2 linked regions of the Neurospora crassa OR74A genome follow. The protein of the gene in region 2 binds, or shares a complex with, the protein of the main gene of each other region. Links are inferred from orthologs where the notes say so. Each region holds a gene or a part of one and is shown on either strand. Other genes may lie near its edges.

Region 1 (7,034 bases), on a different chromosome or scaffold from region 2:
ACAGTCGGCACACGGGACCCCACGAGTTCCATGCCCCTCCGCTCACTTGGCCGGGAATGGCGACTCGACGAGAAGCAAAATCAGTAACCAAAATTCCAGTCCGAGGTATTCACACGTGTCAGTATCAGTTATGTGAATCCACGCTAATATGAGAATGATAAGCCTCCTGCTTGTTGTTGTGAGAATAATTATAGTACAATAACAAATGCCTATTACGCCGGTGTAATAGTAATAATACTCCGAAACAATGCTGACATGTAACAAGTAGTGAGAGAAAGTATGAACCATGCGCCTGCCTAGCCTCCTGTGGCCTTCTTGAACGCCATGCCCAAACCCTTGGTATCGGAACCTGACCCAAGCCATGACTGAAGCAAATCCTTTTCGTACCAAACAGTTCCATATTCATGTAAACCCTTTCCTTCTATCCCAGCAATGTGAAAATACGTCCCTTGGAAACCAGTCCATGCTCGGAAATGCGCAGCAACAAAATCGAATGCTCGACACGACATCGTGTCGATGTCCCCTAAACCGTAATAAAGCCGTAACAAAAGTGAGAAATCATGTAACAATACGATGTCGCGCCTGCAATGATAACAAACTGGTCGTCCCAGTCCCCATACAGTGATTCGATTTAACCAGCAGTGAGCCAAGGTCGAAACACGGTATCCTCGACTTTGAGGTGCCGAAAACTTAAGCGGAAGAAGCAGGCTCAGCGGAAGCTATGCCCTTGTCGTTCGCATCCAAAGAGCCAGAGACATCGTCGTTGGGGCCAAAGTCGGAAGGGCTAGTGCTAACCTGCTCGCCAGTCGCCACATCGACAAGCTTATCACCGTCGACCTCGACCTCTCTGTTGCCGATGCGACGCATCAAATCCAGGAAAGTCGACTTTTGAAATTTCTCGGACTGGTTGTCGGCGACCGAGGTCAAAATGGCGTTGGCTGCCTTGGCCAGCTCCTCGTTGCCCTCGCGACGACGAGCCTCGGCTTCTTCCTTGGCTTCCATCTCTTCAGCGAGGTTCTCCAGATCAGCATCGATAGTGGCCATTTCCTCGTCGGTGGGGGGGCCGACTTTGGTGTTGTTCTCGGCGCTCGGACCGTGCTGCGCCATCCACTCGGCCTCGGCAGCCTCAAACTCCTGCTGAGCTTGCTGAGCCTTCTCGGCCTTTTCCTTCTCGGCCCACTCAGCAAGTTCTTGCTCAAAGGAAGACTCGTCGTACTCGCCAAAGGCTTTGTTAAAGGCTTCGATGTCAAGTGCCGACTCGACGTGGTCGTTGAGGCCGAACTGAGGCTGCTGATGAGTGAAGTTGTTCGTGGCTGTGCCATGCATGACAAAAGGATCGTCCATGGACAATCCCATTCCCATTCCCATTCCCGTACCCACACCCATTCCCATACCGCCGAACTGGCGAGTGTTGTAGGCCATATGGTCGTCCTGCAAGCCCATCATGGAGTTGTGGGTTGCAGTAGACATGGCTGCCGGCATGGCTTGAGGTGACATGGCCGGGGCCGCGTGAGCTGTGTCCTGACGGAGCTGCATGCTGGCGAACTGGTCGACCCAGCCGTGGGCAGCGGCACGGGAGGAGTGCATGGGACTGGCCGTAGCCGGCGCACCTCCGACCGCATGACCAAAGACACCAGGCGCTGGACCAGCATGAAAAGCCGGGACGCCTGGGTTGTTCAGGAACGTATTATTCGCAAGGCCGAGGGAAGGACCCGGGGCGTCGAGCATAGGGGCTTGCTGAAAGGTCTCAAAGGCACCATCAGCAGCGAAGGAGGGGCGGTTTCTGAAGGACTGGATGGGTTGTTAGCACCGAGTTACGCTGGATATTCTACGACAAGACAAAACAAAAGAAAGCGATCATATCATACAGCACCGGCAGCCGAGTTGGGCGAGTTGACCAGGCGGTCCTGGTGAAGAGTGCGGTCGCGATCAGCGTGCGCAAGAAGGTTCTTGGCACCGTTGGACGGGCCGCACATGCTGTCAGACATGTTGAGCGAGGTTTGACTTGTTGGAAGCAAAAAGGCGAGAAGCGCGGGTGACGGTAAGTTTCGAGAAAGAAATTACAAAAGTAGAAGGTTTTATAAATAAAGAGTGAGGAACGAAATGTCCTTGAAGAGAGTATATAATTATTGTAGAGCGAGGAAGACTTGGATGAGTGAGCGAAAGGAGAGTTGTAAGTTGTAAGTAATGTAGATTAGTGGCGCGAAAGTAGAAGCCGAGGTTCTTTGAACAGCGCGATAGTAGTCACCGAACCCGCCGGTATCTCAAGTCTTCAACGCTAAGTATTTGGAGAAAAGTAGTTGGAGAGGGGGGAAGATGGAAACGAGAAAAAAAAGAGTAAACAACGCCGGACCTAATACCACGAAAAGGACGCGACTGATTACTGTGTGTAAAGAAATCCTTTTAGCAAGCAAACAAAAAGCGTCGCTGATTTTGAACAAGTAATTCTGGAAGAAGGGTCAAAATGGTCAGGTCTGGTTGAGTGAGATTCCATCCCAACTTTTTGTGACGGGAGTGAACGCTGCCACGGCACTGGCGAAATTCCCGTCGGGGTAGCCATGCGCTCACACGCTATCATGTGCACGGCATGTTCAGTGGACTTTTACAGCGGGACGGGAGAGCCCAGGCGACGCGTGGGGTCGTCAACGGGCCCCTGCCTCACCTGCCCCACCTTGGTTGTCTCAACAAGAGTCCACTTCGAGCCTCCGACCTGGTTACAATAACGTCACACCACGGTGAGCCTACGAGGAAACCGACAAAGGCTCCACTCACCTTGCTCACCTTGCTCACCTTGACTTCTTGCCAGCTGGACCACATCGCTCGACAGGGATCACTGCGCAAGCGTCAAGTGGAAGCTCCAGCGCAGCAAGACGGGTTCACCTATCGTGTCGCCTGGGCGTCCACTGCCTGTAGCTTGCAGCTTCCATTCCCAATGCCCGTCCGTGGTGATCCAACTTAACAGCAACTGAATCCCCAACGACGGCCCTTTTTCCTTTCTACTACTCTGAGTAGTGTACTTTATAACTCCAGTCTGAATTCATTCATCACCCAAAGGACGCAAATACAACTCCATACAAATCTATTTGTCTTTTCCACAATCTTCAATACTCCATAATTAATCAACATGGTACGTCCTCTTACACCCCCAAAGCTGCCGGCGGCGTCCCTCCCCCTTACTTGGCTACCTATCCACTAACATGAAGCTATCGCGACAATGACAGACCGCAGGCGCACAGGTTATCGCCAACTCTGGCCACGATGATATGATTGTACGCTGAACATCGCCCCCTCGACGTTTCCCGACAACCATCCCTCTGTTTCTAACCGACCCTCGCAGCACGATGCAGTTCTCGACTACTACGGCAGGAGGTTAGCGACATGCTCCTCGGATCGCACCATCAAGATCTTCGAGATCGAGGGCGAATCACAGCGACTTGTTGAGACATTGAAGGGGTATGTTTGCGATGGGCTACAGTCACCAAACAATATGGACAATGGGTTAACCTCCCTTCTTCCGACAGACACGATGGCGCAGTTTGGTCCGTAGCATGGGCGCACCCCAAGTACGGCAACATCCTCGCCTCGGCAGGCTACGACGGCAAGGTTCTCATTTGGCGCGAGCAAGCCGGCAGCTGGCAGCGCATCTTCGACTTCGCCCTACACAAGGCTAGCGTCAACATCGTGTCCTGGTCTCCCCACGAAGCCGGATGCCTCTTGGCCTGCGCCTCTTCGGACGGCAACGTCAGCGTTCTCGAATTCAAGGATAACAGCTGGGAGCACAACATCTTCCACGCCCATGGCCTGGGCGTCAACTCGGTCTCGTGGGCCCCCGCCACCACCCCCGGCAGCATCGTCAGCAGCAACCCCGGCCCCGGCTCGACGGGCAACAGACGCTTCGTGACTGGCGGTTCCGACAACCTGCTCAAGATCTGGACCTTCGACCCCGCGACCAACGGATACAAGCTCGAGCGCGAGCCCCTGGCGGGTCATACAGATTGGGTGCGCGACGTTGCGTGGAGCCCGACTGTGCTTCAGAAGAGCTATATCGCAAGCGCCTCGCAGGACAAGACGGTGCGCATCTGGACGAGTGACGCGGCGAACCCGGGCGAGTGGAAGTGCAAGGTTCTCAACTTTGATGCGGCCGTCTGGCGCGTTAGCTGGTCGCTCAGCGGAAACGTGCTGGCCGCCAGCAGTGACAACAACAAGGTCACACTATGGAAGGAGAACCTTAAGGGCGAGTGGGAGAACGTCAAGACCATTGAGGAGTAAAATCACATGGGAATTCGGTCACGTTATGATGATGATGGGTGGCGAGCGTTAGCATAATATTGGTAGGTAGGATATCTACTCATCATCCAGAGTGGGCGTTATCGGGTAATAAATAAGGGAGGCCAGCGAAAAGGAGCAGGCTTACCTTCGGTTTCACAAGAACATATCCAGGTTGGCTTCACATGAACCGCTCGGGACAATGAAGAGATCATACCGAGTTTTATCTTACACTATCACATTACCTCGGGCTTACGGGGAGTACATTTGACCCAGTACATCCCACCTCCCAAGTCATCAACGCGCCTTATCCATCTTCTCTTCCAACCATCCCAACACAATCTCCCTTCCCCTCTCATCCAGATCCCCAACACCTTCCAAATCGCCAATCGCCATGTCCTGATCGTCCACCACGCCCACGTCCGCCACCTTGACCCTCCTCGCCGCCTCCAGCTCCCAGTGGTGGAGGTCGATCAAGTAATCCTCGTCCCACTTCCGCCGCTCTTTGAGTTCCAACATCTCAATGCTCCGCTGCATCAGCAGCGCCAGTTCGTACGCTTGCGTGCGGAAGCTGTTCTCGCCAGCGGTGATGGCGACCGGGGGTTTGCGGTGTTTTCGCGTTTTGAGACGAGGGCGGGGTTTCTTCTTTTCCTCTGCTTCGCCTTGTGCTGAGTCGCCCTCTTCGTATTTCTCTCCCTGGCCTTCTTCTTCTTCTTCTTCTTCCTCCCCCTTTATCTTCTTCTGCTTCTGCTTCTGAACACCACTAAGTCCCTTTTGATTTCTGTTCCGGGCCGCGGCATCAACAACCCCATCATCCTTCCCCCCCTCCGACGACCCAATCTTCGCCAAAGCATCACACTTGAACGGCAACTCCGCCGACGGCGTCTCATACAACAATAACGTATCCGGCAGCTTAAGCATGGAGTGCCTCGGCGGGAAATGCACATAGCTCTTACGTGGGAACTTGCCAGGTAGAATCTCTACCTTGAGAGTTTGTTGGAGCATGTCTTCGGCCGCTACCTCGTCCGGCTCGCCTTCGGCGTCGTTGATCATCGACATGTGCATACGGTAGTGCTCCGAGTGCTCCGAGTTGTCGGGATCGAGGTCGTCGGTGGGGTTTTGGCTGGCTGGGAGGGGCGACGGAGCCGGAGGTTGGTGAGGAGGGGGAGTAGAGGGGGAAGTCAATGGGTCGTGGGGTTCGCTGGGGACGTCCGCGGGGACGTTGATGTCGCCGCTGCTGACACCATTGGCGCCGGTACCGGCACCGGTAATCAATGGCCCTGGAGGTGGCGGAAAAAGCCATTCAGGAACATACTTCTCATCAAAAGTCGTCGGAACAAAAAGTCCCGCCGTGTGGAAAAACAGACAAGCGCTAGCAAAGCTGTCAAACAGTCCCGACGGCGAGCCAAAGAGATCTTCGAGCCGACGCTGATAATGGGCAATGATGGGTGAGGTGGCAGCCGGTCCTGCATCTTTGTCGAGGTCGCGGTTCAGCTTGTGCAGCTGCTCCTCGATAAGGATGCGGTCGTCGCCCTTGGGCCGGTGGATCGGGTGGTCAGGCAAGAAAGTGGTCCAGTCGTAGATGCCGTTGTAGGCGAGGAGACCGCGTACGGCCATGCGCGCGTGTGGGTACGACTCGGTGAGAGCCAGCCCGGCGGCCAGACTGGCGCCAAGGTAGGAGCCGCAGATGTAGACGTCTTTGCGTTTGGGGTATCTTGGTTGGAGGTTTTGAATGATCCAGGAGTAGCCAAAGAGAACGTCGTGGATAGGGGTGGGCCAGTGAAGGGGAGTTATGCTGATATCTTCTTCCTCTTCCTTGGGTAGTCGCTCTTCTTCTTTGCTATTAGGCGTCTCGCTCGATTGATATCCTTCATCGTCAAAATCGGGCTCTTCAATCTTTGGCTTGAGTTTTGGCTGTGGTCTGTCGTCGTATAAGCCAGACCATCTATAGTGAATGACAGCGGCCGAGTATGTGTGAAGCCATGATGGGAGTTGATAGTTCGGGTCAGTCTCGTCCCGAGCAGCAAAGGGCGGGATCCAGATGATTAAAGGATCGGTTGGCGGCCGGTCAGCGACATTGTACAGACTGAGCCACAGATATCAGTCTAAAATTGGCCTTCGTCACTCACAGCTCCCAAGGAGACTGTTGATGTTATGTTGACCACCTACCTGACGGTAATTTCACCAGAAGAGGCGCATGGAACAGTATAGCGTTCTATCGAAGGCTCAAACGGGGGACTGCTACTGTAGAATCTTCTATGGGACGCCTGGTGCGAAAATTTTGGTAAAGCGACGGTGATGCGCCTAAGTCTCAGTGCTAGAGTCCATCTGGACATCTTCTACGGAGTTGCCAGTGTATGATGAAGTTCTGGCATAGTTTCTTTGTCAGACCCTTTCTCATTTCACGATTTTACAACTGAGTAAGAGGCCTTGGACACTGAACGAGAAATTCTTACTCGTCGGAGCACCAACTTATCCCTTCGTCTCTTTCCTTTTCTAGATGCAGAAGAATACCCCATGGGAGGTTATGACTTGCCAAGCTGGATAGTCAACGTTGATGTCACGATCAAAGCTGGGTGTTGTTTTGGTGTTGTGCTGCCGCCAGAAATTGTTAAGAGACGACGACCATAAACAAATGGAGATACGTACCTACAGCAAATCACTGTCTGGCATCTGGTGGCAGCTGAATTCTATGGAAAGTGGGGCCATGTGACCCTCCACAGAACAAGCTCTCGTTAAAACCTTGGCAGAACTTGGCTTTTAGCGAT
Region 2 (7,380 bases):
ACGTACAAACCCCCAACCCGCGACGACATTCGCTGGAGAACAGAACCGAGCTTCGACGTCCCTGCGGACCCGAGAAGCTCCATCCCCGTCCCCGAACTCCAGTCTCCAGTTTTCGTCAGGTCATCCCAAGCAAGTGTACACTACGCAATTGGATCACCATCGCCTACACAACGTAATCGCATTGACAACTAACTCGACGATTCAATAGAAAAAGGTAGCTTACACCAACTTCCGCGACTGTCCAACTGTTGTAACACATCTTCTCCCATACATACACTCAACTCTTTTTAATCAAATCACCCATCAAATCTGTCTTCTGGCACGCCAACCTAAGAAAAGAGACCCCATCCGCTAAAGCTTAACCCACGTCACTCTAGTCCAACCAAACCACCAAACCAACCATCAAGATGCTCCGCACCACCGTCTCCAAGCTCGCTCGCCCTACCGTTTCCAGGGCGTTTGCGACCACCTCCCGCGCTCTCGCCGGTGAGACTGGTGCTCCCCCAAAGACCGGCGGCCCAGGGTGAGTTTTTGTTCCGCCGCGTTCCTCGCACGCGCACGTGGATACGCGGCGACTCCAACTAGTTCAAACCCGCTGACATCATACCCTCCCATTCCAGTGACGCTTTCCAGCGCCGCGAGAAGGCCAACGAGGATTTCGCTATCCGCCAGCGCGAGAAGGAGAAGCTCCTCGAGCTCAAGAAGAAGCTCGCCGAGCAGCAGAAGCACCTCAAGACTCTTTCTGATCACATGTAAGAACGACCCATCAGCCAGCCAACAGCCACCACCGGCGCATAGTCGCCACAAACACACCAGGCCGGGCGCGCATCATATGGGCCGTAGTCAGCTACGCACACCATCATCAGAGGAAGCCGGGCCTCGATTCTCCTTCACAAATAAAAGAAAGTTCTAAAAACAAGGCAGTTACTAACATTCGAGAAACAGTGACGAGATCACCAGGGAGCAGGGCGGCGAGCGCAACTAAACGAACAACAAGCAACAATAACAACCCATAAACATATTTTTTTTTCTTCTTCCTCTGCTTATTATCATTCCCTCTCGCGACGTCCCATCGCTACACACGCCACTACGCCTACGCAGTATGAATGCAATGAAATGAGAAGGGGCCAAGGATTTGGGGGGGTTAAGAAAGGATGGGACTTGGGCTACGGGGACGGACGGCGCGCCGAGGATGAGTGTCATCTTACACATATCTCAAACTTACCCCTTGTAGCAATATAGCGAGCAAAGCCATGATCGATGATCACAAAATCACGACCGGGGGACCTATGGACCTCACAAGTTGCATCAATGGGACGAACAAGTGTCTAAAGCAAAACCGTGACAGAACCGAGCTTATGAGAAAGTCCAAAACGAGTCGAACAGTTCCTGTGCTGCAGTAGGGGCGATATTGGGTTCATCGGCTTGCCCTTGAACCAGAATCTCATAATGCGGCTGAAGAGTAATGAAGTTATCAGGAAAGCAAGCCAGCCTACGTAGTTCCGTAACTAATTTTTTTTTTCAAAACCTAGTTACTTTGATCCAGACTCAAGACTCTTCATTATCTTAATGCCACTTACATGGAACATGAAAAAGAAAGCAGACGGGACGGTACTTTACTGAAGTATTAACAACTTCAAGTCCGTCTTATAAGAAATTTCACTGATACCCACCGACGTTCTGAGTCACAACAATGATGCTCTACGTCTCGGTTTTCAAAATGAAACTCCTGGCAGTCGGTACCTATATGTACAGTTCGGCAGTCCGATATGTATGATATTCACTCGACATCATATGAAGACAATATATCGAAAAAAACAGACACATGAACTCCCTTCCAGATGTAATGAACCCCTTTTTGGACTGTGGCCATTACCTTGAACCCATCTTGTTTATTGATTTTTGCTTCCACAACCTAGAATAAGTGGCCTAGCCCAGCCTAGCATAGCATAGCCTTTTTTCTTGTCTCCTAACCCATCCCAAAGCCAGACAGACAGACAGATCTCAGCTACGTAAATTAACATCATCGATCCCCCCCCATCCACAGCCACGATACATATACAAGACGTTTCAAATCATACCATGATGGTCTTTCACAGACTAACAAAACAAACCAACAAACCAACAAACCAACAAACTAGGGTAGGTAGGGTACTCAAAACTGAACACACACACACACACACAGACAAGTTCGCCGCCATCCGATTCTTCAGCCTCTTTCTCTTTCTCTTTCACTCATACTTCACTTTACTTTAGCTTCCTACAATACAGCATCATCAAAGCCCATTTATTTCCCTTCCCTTCCCTTCCCTTTCCCTTCACCTGTTCACACCACCGGCCCTGTACGAGCGGTAAAAGCTCTGAGCGGCATCCGACTCGTTGACGCCTTGGTGGGCACCCATGCCGCTGGTAGCCTTTTGGGCAGCGGCCACCTTGGCTTGGAGGTCGGCGGCGTTTTGGTCGATCCACTGAAGCTGGTGAAGGTGACCGTTGAGGACACGGACGATTTGGCTGAGCTGTTGTGTTTTGTTTATCGTGTGCGTTAGTGATTGGATAAAATAAGGGAAAAATGGAGAAAAAGGAGAGAAAAAGGAGGAGAAAAAAAAGGGAGAGAGAAAAACATACCGGATCATCAGGCTTGCTCCCCTTGCTCAACGTGCCCGTCATATCATTTATCTCCTTGATCATCTTGGCCAAATCCTTGCCCATCTCATCCAGCCTATCCGTCAGCTTCTCGGCAAGCTTATACGTCCTCTCGCGCTCCTGATCGGGGCCCAAGCCGTCGCCAACACCGCCAGCAGCCTTTGACTCGCCGCCGGATCCAAGCTGCTGCTTCTTGAACAACTCCTCCAGCTGTGCCTCGTACTGGTCCAGCCACGCGGTCAGCTCGTCCTGCTGCGACTCGACGCCCGAGAGCTGGCGCTCGATCTCGTTGCTGGCCTTTTCGGCCTCGTACGTGCTGGTGTACAGCTTCTGGATCTTCTCGCCGTTTTCGACCAGGAGGCGGTCCCATTCGGCCACCTTGGCGGCTTGCGACTTGAATTCCTTCTGGTACTTGGAGAGATCGGTGGCCCAGCGGGTGATGATTTCATCCATGGTCTTGTTCTTCAACCGCGGGAGAGTAGAAGTGGGGCCGGTGGTCGTGGAGGCGAGGTTGCCGGTGGTGCTGGTGGTGCCGGCGGCAGTAGTGGTGTTGTTGGTGGTGGTTTTGGAGGTGGTGGTGTCCGCAGGCTTGGCTCCTCCTCCAAAGAGACTGCTGGTGGTTCCAGCAGTGGCGGTGGTGCTCCCACCGGCAGTGGTGGTGGCCGCTGTGGTAGTGGCGGGCTTGGTGGTGGCCGCACCGAAGAGGCCGCTAGTTGTGGTCGAAGACGAAGGAGCAGGCGCCGTGGTTGTGGTCGTCGAAGGCGTAGTCGATCCAAACAAGCCTCCTGATGCTGGGGCAGTAGAGGTAGTGGTAGCATCCTTGTTGGCGCCGAACAGACTGCCGGAAGCAGCAGTGGTGGTAGAGGTGGCAGGAGCTGAGGTAGCAGGAGTGGCGCCGAACAGACCACCCGTAGCTGGCTTTGCGGCTTCGGCCGGCTTGCTTGTGTTGGCACCAAAGAGGCCGGAAGTTGCTGGTGCTGTGGTGGTCGTGGTCGATGTCGTAGCCGGGGTTGTCGAGGCTCCGCCAAACAGGCTGCCACCGCTGGTCGCAGGCTTCGCGCCAAAGAGAGTAGATCCGGAAGTGGCTGTCGTCGCGGGAGTTGTGCTGGACGCAGGCTCGGCTGGCTTGGCGCCAAAGAGACCAGAAGTGGTGCCAGAGGTGGTGGTCTCGGCTGGCTTCGCTCCGAACAGAGATGGTGTTGTTCCCGAGGTGGGGGCAGGGGTTGTGGTCGGGGTACTCGAGGCTCCTCCTCCTCCAAAGAGGTTGCCAGAGGCAGGCTGGGTAGCACCAAAGAGAGAGGGCGCGGCCTTGGAAGCGTCAGCAGCAGGTGGTGCACCGGCTGGGGTAGTCGATCCTAGTCCAAACGAGGTCTTAGCCGGCGTCGTCTGAGAGTTGGCGCCAGCTCCGAAGAGACCACCGGTAGCCGGAGTAGTAGAAGCATTGTTTCCAAACAGACCTCCCGAAGGAGCTCCTGTTGCGGGTGTGGTGCTGGCCCCGCCACCAAACAAGTTCGAGCCACCAGCGGCGGGGGTTGTCGATGTGTTGGCAGTGGTGTTTCCAAACAAGCCTGCGCCAGGCGTCGTGCTGCCTCCTCCGGCAGTGTTGGAAGCAGAGCCGAAAAGCGAAGGTGTAGTCGAGGTGGTATTGGCTCCGAATAGTCCTCCAGGTTTCGAGGCATCTGTAGGCTTAGCGCCAAACAAGCTACCGGCTGGCTGTGTCGAGCTCGCTGCTGGGGTGCCGAAGGAGGAGGCTCCGAAGAGACCACCGGATGTAGCAGTTGTTGCTGGTTGGCCCGAGGCCGCGCTGGAGCTTGGTGTACCGAAGAATGACATGATTGCGATTATGTGAGGCTGACGATATGATGTCGAGGTTTCGGGGTTGGTTGGTTGGATGGATGGATGAGGCGTTGGTGGTTGGGTAGTCGTCGTCAACCAAAATCTAGAAAGTCAACAACAGCGTCCCACTTCCCAAGGCTGTTGCGGTTACCTCAACAACAACAGGGAGCGCGCGGAAACCCAAGCAACGATTCGTTGAAATGCGAAGAGGAAGATCGGCGCGATCTCGGTTTTGAGTAAGTGATGCAATGGTCCAGCCGTGGTTATCGGATCGCGAGTTTTGGACGTCGGTTCGGAATCCGTTTGGTGGAGTGGACGTGGACGTCGTTTGGGCGTGGATTGGAGAAAGCAAAGAAAGTGTGGCAGCGTCACTCAGTCTCTCGGTCTCTGTTTGTCAAGGTTCCGTCCGTCGCGACAGGCCTTTCCACTTTTTTGGAGGTGCTGCAGCGCGCCTGGGCTTTTCCCCTTCTGGGGACCCGGACGCGCACTCAACAAGGCCAAGCATTTCCCGCTTATTGGAGCACTCCAGTCACCACTGCAACGAGTCAGCCCCAGGTGAAGTGGTCAGCCTCACCTCACCTACCCCGTCTAACATTTTACTAGCAAGTGCCAAGCGTGCACGGCCAATCAATATGTGGCTTGACGGCAGTTCGACAACTGACGGAGAACTTGAGCAATGACGGGGCGGGCCTCATAAACTGAAGCGAAGTGCTGACTTTCCACTTGCCGTGATGCTCTTCTGCATTCTGACTGGACCGTCTGGTTGCAGCACATTACGCAGCGAGTTACCATACAGTTTCCGGACACGGCGGTACCTTAGTACCATACCGTACCGTACCGTACCGCACCGTCCCAGGGTAGCCGAGCAAGAAGCAGGAGCCCCGTTCAGTCGTCTCGGAAAGCTTGGGGTGGTGGTTACCCCATGTTCTAGATTAGGCCATCGTGAGCCCATCCTCTAGACTAACTCTAGGCCATCCGGAAGCTGTTCCTTTCTCTCGTCTCTCTCCACACACATTGCTGTCCATCGTCTGGACATTGGGATGCCACAAGTCAGCCGCAACGTCTGTGTGCATACCCAATCTTGATTCAGTTCACTTTGACCTCAGGCCATCTGCTGCGTGCAATTGACCTATCTCCTGCAGAGTATAAGAGTCGGCTTACTCCCGTCTTGTTATAGGACACTCCAGTCCTGTCCCTCACAGCAGTAAACATACTGTAGCACCCCACACCAACTACATCACTCCTCAGTCCTCACCTTGGCCCCCCGATCCCCGATCCCGATCCTCCCATATCCATATCCATATCCATATACATATACATACACCTATCTTGCTTCCTACCTACCATATACATTTCTGCGCTTCCTTCAGCACTCACCATAGTCGGAAATCCTCTTGTTCTTTGATCGTATAGACCGCCGCGACTACGCTTCGAGATCACAATGGCTTCGCGCAGGAACAGTCTGTCGCCTCCCGAGAGGCAGGGGACCATGGACCCGGGCGCTCATGAGCTACCTGGTAGGTTACAGCTGATGGGGAACTTGGGAGACCTCTGGACAAAGTCGGCACATGGATATCCAACTAACCATTCATTCTACGCGACAACAGGCTCCGACACCGAAGATCACTACTCCGATGCCATCTCTTCTCCCAAAGCTCCCTCCTCGCCCATCCCGCGAACAAGAGTCGAGAGAGTAGACGACAAGCCGGCGTATGGAGAGGTCCCGGGGACCAAGGCGTATTCTATGAGGGAAGGGGACGCGAAGCCGGATGAATTTGCCATTATCCCAGACCCAGACACCAAGCTCTCGACCGAGGAGCATGACCAGCGCCGGCCGTCCACTCCAGGCGGGCGCCCCATTCCCATGACCGTAGTGGAGGAGACGCCAGATAGCACTGGTGCCGTCACCCACCATGAGATCGAAGCGAGGCACAGGGTTGACAGTCCTCCCGACGTGCTTGTCAAGGCGGATGGGCAAAAGGTCGAGCATGAGAAGGGTGGTGACAATGGTACGGATGCGTAGCACTTCTTTCTAGCCACACACACACGCGCGCGCACACACACACACTTTCACAAGCACATGCCTGTTTGTTTGTTTTTTTTTGAGCCAGCAAATTATACAAGATCTCCTTTGTATTGACTTTACGTTTTCCTGCGTAGATACACCAATACCACCTGCATTAAAGAGTCCCGCCTCGATCCATTCTAGAGACTCGTCATCTGATCTAGACCAGCCATCCCCTGACTCGCCCTCATTGGGGCCCAGTCTTCTAGAAAAGGAGGAGGCAAAAGATGACGCGCACGACAATGTCGTACGAGACAACGCCAAGACCGCCGACGACGAAGACGCCGATGAAGATGAATCCAAGAAGGAGGAGGAGAATGTAGAGGTCAAGACTGAGCAGGCTCAAGATGGAGAGGTGGAGGACGAGAAGCACGAGGAGGAACAGTCAAAAGACCGCGACACCGAAGAAGCATTGAAAGGAGACGAGTTCGAGGATGCCAGCGAAGAGCTTGAGACGCAAGATACAAAGGAAGAAGACACAGAGGACCACTTCGACGAGGCAGAACCCAGTCAAGAGAACGAGAAGAAGGTCGAGCCAGAAGAGGACAAGAAGGACGATGTCAGCTTTGACCAGAAAGAGGAGAAGCCTGTTGAAAAAGATGGGTTCGACAACGACGACGACGACGGATTTGCTGAAGCAGGGGATAAAGCCCCCGACGATGACGGGTTTGGTGATGACGACTTTGGGGACGACTTTGCTGAGCCAGCTCCGGCTGGCGCCGATGACTTTGGGGATGACTTTGACGACTTTGAGGAGGGAGCCGAGGCCAACAACGATGCTGACTTTGGCGACTTTGACGATGCCGGCTTTGACGACGATGACTTCCAAGAAGCCG

The links.
Region 1: NCU02808 (region 2) and NCU04063 share a complex: the UniProt entries of both Schizosaccharomyces pombe proteins name them as parts of the nuclear pore complex. The link is inferred for Neurospora crassa OR74A from reciprocal best matches to the Schizosaccharomyces pombe genes nsp1 and sec13.

The regions. Positions count from the first base shown.
Region 1 is NC_026506.1:2,620,380-2,627,413, forward strand, and holds NCU04063 (protein transporter sec-13), read left to right. Parts: upstream 1-2,902; 5' UTR 2,903-3,124; coding exon 3,125-3,127; intron 3,128-3,221; coding exon 3,222-3,269; intron 3,270-3,337; coding exon 3,338-3,453; intron 3,454-3,521; coding exon 3,522-4,269; 3' UTR 4,270-4,563; downstream 4,564-7,034. Other genes in the region: pex20 (peroxisome biogenesis factor 20), read right to left, coding at 691-1,791, 1,869-1,988; NCU04064 (hypothetical protein), read right to left, coding at 4,564-6,352, 6,436-6,602. UniProt on the Schizosaccharomyces pombe protein: Component of the coat protein complex II (COPII) which promotes the formation of transport vesicles from the endoplasmic reticulum (ER).
Region 2 is NC_026501.1:9,051,700-9,059,079, reverse strand, and holds NCU02808 (hypothetical protein), read right to left. Parts: upstream 5,084-7,380; 5' UTR 4,477-5,083; coding exon 2,626-4,476; intron 2,517-2,625; coding exon 2,319-2,516; 3' UTR 1,969-2,318; downstream 1-1,968. Other genes in the region: NCU02807 (uncharacterized protein), read left to right, coding at 408-523, 621-752, 946-985; NCU02809 (hypothetical protein), read left to right, coding at 5,921-5,996, 6,087-6,488, 6,640-7,380. UniProt on the Schizosaccharomyces pombe protein: Functions as a component of the nuclear pore complex (NPC).